2 linked regions of the Drosophila melanogaster genome follow. The gene in region 1 interacts genetically with each later gene. Each region holds a gene or a part of one and is shown in the gene's direction. Other genes may lie near its edges. The genes, in order: Usp12-46 and Ppt1.

The links.
Region 2: of Usp12-46 (region 1) and Ppt1, changing one suppresses a phenotype caused by changing the other (phenotypic suppression), as found in Drosophila melanogaster (one study listed by BioGRID).

What each region holds. Positions count from the first base shown.
Region 1 is NT_033777.3:22,749,188-22,754,178, forward strand, and holds the start of Usp12-46 (Ubiquitin-specific protease 12/46), read left to right. Parts: upstream 1-1,713; 5' UTR 1,714-2,179; intron 2,180-4,991. Other genes in the region: rumi, read right to left, coding at 52-1,151, 1,202-1,337. UniProt on the Drosophila melanogaster protein: Catalytic component of the Usp12-46 deubiquitylase complex.
Region 2 is NC_004354.4:8,688,086-8,692,139, reverse strand, and holds Ppt1 (Palmitoyl-protein thioesterase 1), read left to right. Parts: upstream 1-1,912; 5' UTR 1,913-2,061; intron 2,062-2,093; exon of another isoform or gene 2,094-2,121; 5' UTR 2,122-2,160; coding exon 2,161-2,705; intron 2,706-2,845; coding exon 2,846-2,995; intron 2,996-3,051; coding exon 3,052-3,178; intron 3,179-3,237; coding exon 3,238-3,360; 3' UTR 3,361-3,513; downstream 3,514-4,054. Other genes in the region: Ogg1 (8-oxoguanine DNA glycosylase), read right to left, coding at 443-529, 589-1,075, 1,137-1,454, 1,513-1,652; CAH3 (carbonic anhydrase 3), read right to left, coding at 3,963-4,054. UniProt on the Drosophila melanogaster protein: Cleaves thioester-linked long fatty acyl groups such as palmitate from modified cysteine residues in proteins or peptides.

The sequences.
Region 1 (4,991 bases):
GCAACTTAATACAAAATGAGAAATGCTTAAACACAATAACATTTCATTTCGCTACAGCTCATCCTTTTTAGGCCCTATGTAAATAAGTTGATCCTCCGGCTTAACCTCGTATTGCAGCAGCTTCACATATCGCTTGAGCAGCTTGCGCCAATAGCACTTGATGTCCTTCATGCGCAAATGCTCCCAGATGAAGTCGTATCCACGCTGAGCGATCTCCTGGGCCAGCGCATCGTTTTTCTTGAAAAAGGACAAGATGTGCTCGTACTCCTGCTGACTGGGGTAGCTCTTGAGCGGCACATAGTGCACCCAGGGCTTTAGTTGGTCGTAGAAGAACTCCTGCCACTCGTCGCCCACATGGAAGACCAGCGACTTGCAGAGGAACAAGTGCTTCAGACGAAAACTGGCGGCCACACCGCGGAAATTGAACAAGTACTTGTACTTGCAGTGGTCCTCGAAGGACACCTCATCAGCAGCCGGTGCGTCCAGTGTATCCTTAGGCGACTTCCAGCCCTGATTTTTGGTGTATTGAGCCTCGACTAGCTCCGGATTGCGGCGCGAGAGCAGAATAAGAGAATCACGTTCGTCCGAGGTGCGTGAACCGCGAAAGAAGCCCAGACTGCGTTTCTGTGACCAGGGTATAGCTGCCGCTCGCTTCTCCAGCTTCTCGCGCATCTGATCCCAGCGTCCAATGCCACGAGGATGGAGCTTGGTGGCCGGTCCTCCGGCCCAGAATGTCCACGCTGGATACATGATGTCGCGGTACTCCTTTGTCTTGGAGAAGGAGAAGACGGGACCACCAGCCGCGTTACCCCACGCCGCATTCAGCTGCGGATAGTCCCTGGTATTGATGATCAAGTCCATGTCGGGCAGCGTAGCCACCAGCGGCAGCAGGAAGTGTTCAATGCCCTCACAGCGGGCTGGGAACATGCAGTTGGCATCCCGGTACAGGCGATGTCCGTAGATCTTGTATTTGGTGCCGTAACGCGCTGAACTCTCGATCATCTGCCGGGTGACACCTGTTGACTTGTAGGGCGCGAGATCCCGTTTCAGAACATTTGCGTGGCAGGAGCAGTCGCTGTCCTGGGGATCACTGCTGCACGGCTTGTAGTCGGCATTGGCTTTTTCGATCTGGCGACGTATCTTGAAGCTAACTAAATTAATTGATTAATTAATTAATCGAAGCCGGCAACAAGTTGCTTACATTCATCCTCGTTTATTTGGTCGGGTTCACTTTGTGCACAGGATTTTTGATCGGCACTGCAAAGTCCGTCATCTTCTGCACCTCCTGTTCCTACCAAACTAATTAATAATACGACTATTAAATGATTTATTAGCATTTCTTTGGATGTAAACAAATTTGTTGGCCTTTGATTGCGGCGTCAGCAATAGGGTTGCCAAGTCAACTGAAACTATCGATATTCCAGAAATGTTTTTAAGGACATAGTTTTTAAAGTAAAATGAATGTCTACAATTGATGTAGAAAATAAAAGACTTTCTGCCATTTAGCTGCAAATAACTTAAGAGGAGAAGTAGTTGTGTTTTTAATAACTTTTTGTTACCTGGCAGCCCAGGCAGCAAAGCAGTGATTGAACTGTTACTTTCTTAGGCAGACCATGTCACTGCATTTGCAGGCAAAGCCCTGCAGTAGTAACCATTATTTTGTATGACCATCCATGTGATGGTCACCCTATGCGAGTAACTGTTCGCCGAGTTTTACTTTTGACGCGGTGTGCACACACTGGCCGATCCAACCATTATAAGAAAACCAACAAGAAACGTCGAAAGTTTTCTCCGTGTTAAAGCCAGCCAATAGCCAAATTACAAACGAAAACGACGATTTGCAATTTGCAAATTATGCGTGCGGCACCTAGTGCAATCGAAACCACGTAAACCCAACGAACGCGAGTGTTTTAGACCACCTGCAACCTGAAACAACCACCATTGTACATAATTTACACGAACAATTTTGCAACGACAACAACAAAGGACGCCGCGCTGAAAGAGAGAAGTTGACATAACTGCAAAAAGTAAATTGTATTTAACAGTGGTGGGCAACTAAATAAAGCCCGGATTGTAATATTGGCAACGAAAAATCGTAGTGGGAGTGGCCCAATTGCGAAAACGATGTTGTTTTGTTGAGACAATTGCCAAAAAGCCACCAAAAGTTCAACTAAAAAAGGTAATACATATGTATTTTTATTTATTTGCAAGTGTATCTGCATCTGTATGTGTGCGCGCGCGTGAGTGTGTGTGTGGGCGTACTACGAATAACAGTTAATTGAGCACTCATCGATTTTTTAGCCCCTTTATTGTGGCTCCTAAAAAAGGCAACTTAAATTCATTTCACCTCACGATCCGATCGCCAGATAAAATACAAAAAATAGAAAAAAAATGGAAGAAAAAACTGTTGGAAAAGTTGCCAGCCATCGTCATTAAGTTGATTTGCTACCGCCGCCGATGCTGCGATTTAATTTACCTGGCATTTGGTTTGCTTTCGAGAGCTCCAGTTTCCCATTCCGCCGCATTCCACCTGGGCTTTTCGTTTCTCGACTTTGATTTTCGTTTCCCATCCAGCGGCCGATTTTCCTGCTCGCCGACAAAAAAAAATCGTATCGCTTTCGTTTTCACATTGGACGGCGCGATATACTGGCTTTTTGTTTTTGGTCCGCGACCTAGGGTCGCATTGCCCCGCCCCTCCCGCACCAGCCCGACCGTCCATCAAAGCACCTGACTAATTAGTGTTGAGTTATTAACTTGATAATTATCGCTAGCCACGAGCGAGGTGCACTACTGGAGTTCTGCAGTGCAGGCCTACTTCCGTAACTCTAAACATCTCTTTCATTTTCCTAAGATATATGTATGTATAAACCATTTTAATGGCTTACTTTAAATCTTATTGTACAACATGGATTAGAGTATGTTAGGAGTAATCTCCAACTTATTTAATGTACTCATTTCGTTGTAATAATGTAGTATGATATCTTAATCAGATTCAACATTGTTGTTGATGAAAGTTAGCGGAAGTTGAATTGTATCTGTGCCTTGCAGTGACTAAGAACTAACTTGGCTATCTTTGAGGTCTTTTCGTTAAACTCGTTTGGAACACCATATCGAAATACTGAAAACGTTAAATACAAAAAAAAAAAAAAAAGAAACAAACACAGTAATTCGAGCTTGGCGCTGACTAAAGCTTCGCTTTGTTTATGGAAATATATGTGGTCATAATCAAGCTTTTGGAACCGAAGTCACACGTAAATCTTTTCTGCGCATTCAGACGTATCGATGCGATTGGGAGCCCCTCGACTAGCGTTTCCAATCAATGGTTCTTGGGAGAAAAACTTCGAATCATTTGCATTTTCAGTGGCGTGGCGACCCTCGCCTTCTAATGACTCGATTGATTTCCATTTTGGGCAACCTTTCTCGTTTGTGTAATGCCGGAAGTCGTTTGTCGTAACTTCTTGTATTGATTATAGATAATAATCGAAGAATGCTTTCCGTAGAACGTCTGCCAAATGGTCGTTGGCCAGCTAAAACAGCTGCCATTAGCCGCAGTCACGCTGTCTGGCTTGGGTCATACATCATTTATGTACTCCACTCCTTTGGGCAGGCAAATGACTGAACCCCCGCCCACCACCGATAACCACCCATTTCCACCAACTCCCACTCCGAAGTTCACGTGAAATGTGGCATGCCTAACCCAACCAGATGATTCATCATAACGTGGCATAGGCAGTTTATGCAGATTCCCTACCTTCCTTCCCTGCCAGCCAAGTGGCTGTAACACATTTTCATTTATGCTCCGCTCTCGCACACAATTTCTCCACCCTCTCGCATTTTTCCGTAATTTCCTGACTGATGAGTGAGCCTGCGCATTGGAAAATCGCTTTTCCAGAGCGGTAACTCGCCTGCCGAGTGGTGTGTTGAATTTCTGTTAGCTTCAGGGCTGGGTTGCTATTTTGACATGCTCTTCGGAACTTCTGGATTCATTATTATAGTTTTATTTTTAATGAGATTTTAAGAGCTTATCAATTTTACTACAATTTCCACATATATTGCCCTCTAAGACACGCTTTTGTTTAGAAATTGTTGCCGTCTTGTTAATTCAATTCCACACACTTTCTTCTGCCGCAGACTGAGACTGAAAATATATCCATTTCGCTGCGCATCGCATGTCCAGCTGTGTCAGCTTCTTTCGAATTCTTTGATGTTTCGAAATTGCCTGTCCGTAGATAATTCAGTGCGATTATATTGCGTGCCTGCTGACTGACCGCTCGTACATCATTAGCTCATCGGTGGGGTTTTGTTAGCTAATGGCCATATACTGCAACTGCATTAATAACATAATGTTTGTGTCATTAACCTGCGAACGGAACGAGTTTCCTGCTCGCGCAGCTGGAAAATCGCTTGCCTTTCGGCGGTGGCGGCTCTAATCTGCATAGAATGCGGATCGTCTTGGAAATGTCAGCTTCTCCCCCTCGCAAGAAAACCAGTTAACCAACTAATAGTGGGCCAAATTGCGATTGGTAGTATTTCAGTAGGCTATTCGAACGCATGCGTGACCGCGTTCGACAGTTGGTTTTGTTTACATTTTGGGTTATTGATCGGCTGGCGCACGATTTGATTCTCCGTGCGCTTATCATCAGCACGCACACCATGGTGATACTACACATATATGTAGCTAATGCGGCGGATCTGGTCATGGGCTCTGTGTCATGGAGAAGCATTCGGCTGGCTATCAGCACGAGCATGCTGCTCCAGTTTTCCGCGTTAGTTGCGGCTCTCCGCCTCGCGCTGAATATCGCTCTCTGGAATGGCGGAATACCCTATCAGTGGGTTGATGTTGTTTGTTGTCCGGATTGGGAATAGATGAATCTGTGTGCTCCAAATCAGTTTGATTAACTAAGAAAAGCAAAGCAAGTAATCTAAGAGTAAAGCCCAAGAAAAGTACTTTGTAAAATTAAGAAAGATCAGAAAAAGAAAGTTAAATACAT
Region 2 (4,054 bases), on another chromosome or scaffold:
ATATAAAGATGCGGACACGGATACGAATGCGGATACAGATACTGAAACTTTCACTTGTACAGTGCTCACTCCAATAAAAGATTCGAATAACCACTTCATAAGCATATCCTAAACATCTGTATGCGTATCTAAAAGTGGTTTCCTTAGGTGATGAATTTCTAAAACGGACACAACACATTTTGAATATCCTAAATTTCAAATTCGAGCGCAATCTGTACACATAAATATGGCGATGTATATACAAAACGGACATTTAATGTACACTTTATTTAATCAATTACATCTGTTTAGCAATAAAAAAAAGATATATGAAACCCAGTATCAAGTTCTTTCTCTGTTTAGATATATATTTATATATACATTAGTATATACATTTCTATTATATTTTAATATTCAAATATTACAAGTAGGAATATTTTTTTTTTTAATCCAATAGATAAGATCACTTTTTAGGTTTTTTATTGGATTTTTTCTTACAAGCAACTGTGGAAGTATTTTGAAATTGACTCAAATCGGCAGAAAAGAGAATCTGAAATAATGATATTATAAGAAACACACAGACTAAATTGCAACTTTCAGTGTACTTACAGCTTGAGCCCAACCGGCATACTTTCCGTGTAGCTTTTGAAAATGTTTCGAGACCTCTTCGTAAATCTTCTTGGTTACGTTCTTTTGGCCGGTTAGATGTGGCAGGTAGTAATTTTGGGCAATTCTGTAAATATGAATGTCGACGGGCACTGACTCCAAGTGACCCATTGACATAAGGCAGATGCAATCGGCCACTTTGTATCCGATTCCGGGTAGCAGTGTCAGCTCCTCGCGAGCTTTTTCGAACGGCATGCTCTTTAGGCTTATGAACCAGTTTTGTCCCCCCTTTTTCTGGATCTCTTGCAGCGTTTGTGCTATGAACTTGGCCCGATAACCGAACTTGGCAGCCCTTAGCTGGGCATTAAGATCCTCGCATGGGATGTCGTGGAATCTATTTATCGTGGGAAATGTATACGCATCGGCACCATTGAAGTGACCAATCTTGGTGCCAAATGTAGCGCAAAACCATTCAATCATAGATGATATGCTAAGAAGAAACCAATTTACTGTATTTAATGATGGGATTCGCATTTGATTGAACCACCTACCGCTTGATGTTATTGTTCTGACTGCAAAGGAAGCTAAAAATGTTTTCGAACGGCTCCTGAGAAAGGAGGCGCACAGGCTTACTCAAGAACTTCACAAAGTTATCATCTTTGCTTAACCAATCTTTTTGGTTGACCTTTAGGTCGAAATCAACACGTAGGTAGTCAGATATCAAGGAAGAATAGTCCTTCGTGGCCAAAGGACTGCTGGTTCCGTATGCCTCGTAAGTTATGAAGGATTCTTCTTGCTGGAGCACCCAGTAGGTGTTGAACACCACTCCGCCATATTTCGTTCTATTACCATCGCATATGGATCGCCATCTGGCATGTAAAGTTGTTTTGAGTACATATGTTCATTATTAGTATGGATAGCGCTTACCGGAAACTCTGTCCTCCAAGCAAAGTTCTTTCCAAATCGCATTCTTCGAGGGATAAGCCTATGACACCCCGATCCTGTAAAACAGCCTTCATGTTTGAAAAAAGGCGCTTTTTATGGAAACCTAGGTTATGAGCCAGCATCCGGTTTTATAAACAACTTAAGCCGTGTTTTGGCATACTTAACAATAGTACTTTGTCACGTTTAAATAGTAAACCACATTAAAACTCGAGTTTAAATCGAAAGAAACAAACTCGCTGAATAAAATGTGTTATTGCTATCAGCTGTTTAGCATTTGTTTACCGTTCGGGGTATTCACAACATTCTACTTTTGCTTAGACGCCAGTGTTGGAAAATGTAAATTTTCTGTTCACAGCTGCACAATAAAGTACCAATAAATGCAGCAATGTAGACGAGGGCTTCGAAAAATGCACCTAATTGAACAGTTATATAGTCAAGCCTGTTGCCTTGAAAGGAAAAATAGTTGCAGTATTTTTCATGTTGCGTTAAAGCACGCAGTACGAAATTACCTTTAGGTATAAATAAGACCAGGTACATCCCGTACATGAAATATCCCGATTATATTATCGAACCATATATTATCGATAGCAGACGACTAATTTGATTTGCAAAAATTGCACTCCAACAACAATGATTTCTATCTGCTGTTCTCGTTTTTCATGCATTTTATTTTTGCTGTTCCTGATCTTTTCCCTCGTGCTGAGCTACATATGGTGGAGCCCGACGAAAGGAGGAACCAATCCGGAGGTCCTGCCGGTCGTTCTGTGGCACGGAATGGGCGACACCTGCTGCGTACCCTTCAGCCTGGGTGCCATTATGAACCTGATCGTGGAGCAAACAAAGGGCGGCTATGTGCGATCCCTGCAGATCGGCGGCAATGTTTTGATAGACTGGCAGAGCGGCTTCTTCATACATCCCAACGAACAGGTGGATTACGTTTGCAAGCAACTACTGCAGGATGAGCACCTGGCCAAGGGATACCACGCCATCGGATTCTCGCAAGGCGGCCAGTTTCTGCGTGCGGTTGCCGAACGTTGCCCGAATCCGCCAATGAGGAACCTTATCACACTCGGTGGGCAGCACCAGGGCATCTTCGGACTGCCCATGTGCCCCACCTTAACCGAAAAGCCCTGTGATTATATCACGAGGCTACTGGACAACGCCGCCTACGCACCGTGAGTCTATCTGTTGTTAAGGAATCCTAATATAATATAATTCCTGGAATTTACATGCTTATTAATCCAACACCACCATGTCGCCATCCTTGTCGTTTCCGTGTTAATTCTCTCTTCTCTCTTGCATACCATACACCCAGTGAAGTGCAGAAGGCATTGGTTCAGGCCACCTACTGGCACGACCCGATCATGGAGAACAAATACCGCCTGGGCAGCACATTTCTCGCGGACATTAACAACGAGCTCTTCATCAACAAGTTCTACATTGAGAATCTGCAAAAGCTTAAGAAGTAAGCGCGTATTATACTTATACATTTATCAAATATTATTAACCTCTGCTTTGCAGATTTGTGATGGTGCAGTTCCTAAACGACACAATTGTCCAGCCGAAGGAGTCCCAGTGGTTTCAATACTACACCACTGGGCAGAACAAAGTCATCCAGCCCTTTACTGAGAGCAAAGTCTATCAGGATGTACGTATGCATATCTATCACCTAACGTTCTAATATGAAATGTACATTTTTTCCTAAAGCTGGGACTGGACAAGATGCATCGACAAGGACAACTTGTCTTTCTCGGCGTCGAAGGTGATCACTTGGCCATATCCAAGGCCTGGTTTATCCAGAACATAGTGCCTCTCTTACTCGAAAAATAAGATGGTGCCCAAAAAGCACGTATTGTGACAAAAATGTTTGCATAGGTTTAATCCATTCTTCCTATTAACATAAGCATTTTAATATTAATAATGACTTTTTGATACTTTTATACATGTTTAATTAGATGTTTAATAAATTCAGTTTGGACATACAAAATGTGTTGATTTACTGTTCTTATTTTCCTCTTTTTCTCGCTTTCACTGTTTATCTTAATAACTTAAACGTTAGGATTACGTCTCTTGTAGATGTCTTAAGTAGTTGTGCCCGATATTTCTCTGAAATATTCAATGCAAGGCAACCGCGTGCTCCGACTAAAATTCCATACACGTATCCGTATCGTAAATACTCCGTATATATATATATATATATATATATATATATATGTATGTATGTATATGTATGTTTTGTTAGGTATATAACGCTATGTACATGAGGCAAATAACAAAAGCAGCTTACAGACAACCATAGACAGATAAATGTTTACACATAGCTATAGTTTAGATAGGCGATTGGGCGGAGAAAATTGCGCGAAAGGTTGGAAAAAGGAAAGTCAGCGGGAGCGGGAATTGTAGAATTGTATCCAAGTCATATGGCAAGCACATTATAACTTGGACTTTGGATTGGTGTTGCGCGCAAAGAAGATTTCCGGATCCTTGTGCGGACGCTGGATCTCGCGATAATTGTTGACTATCT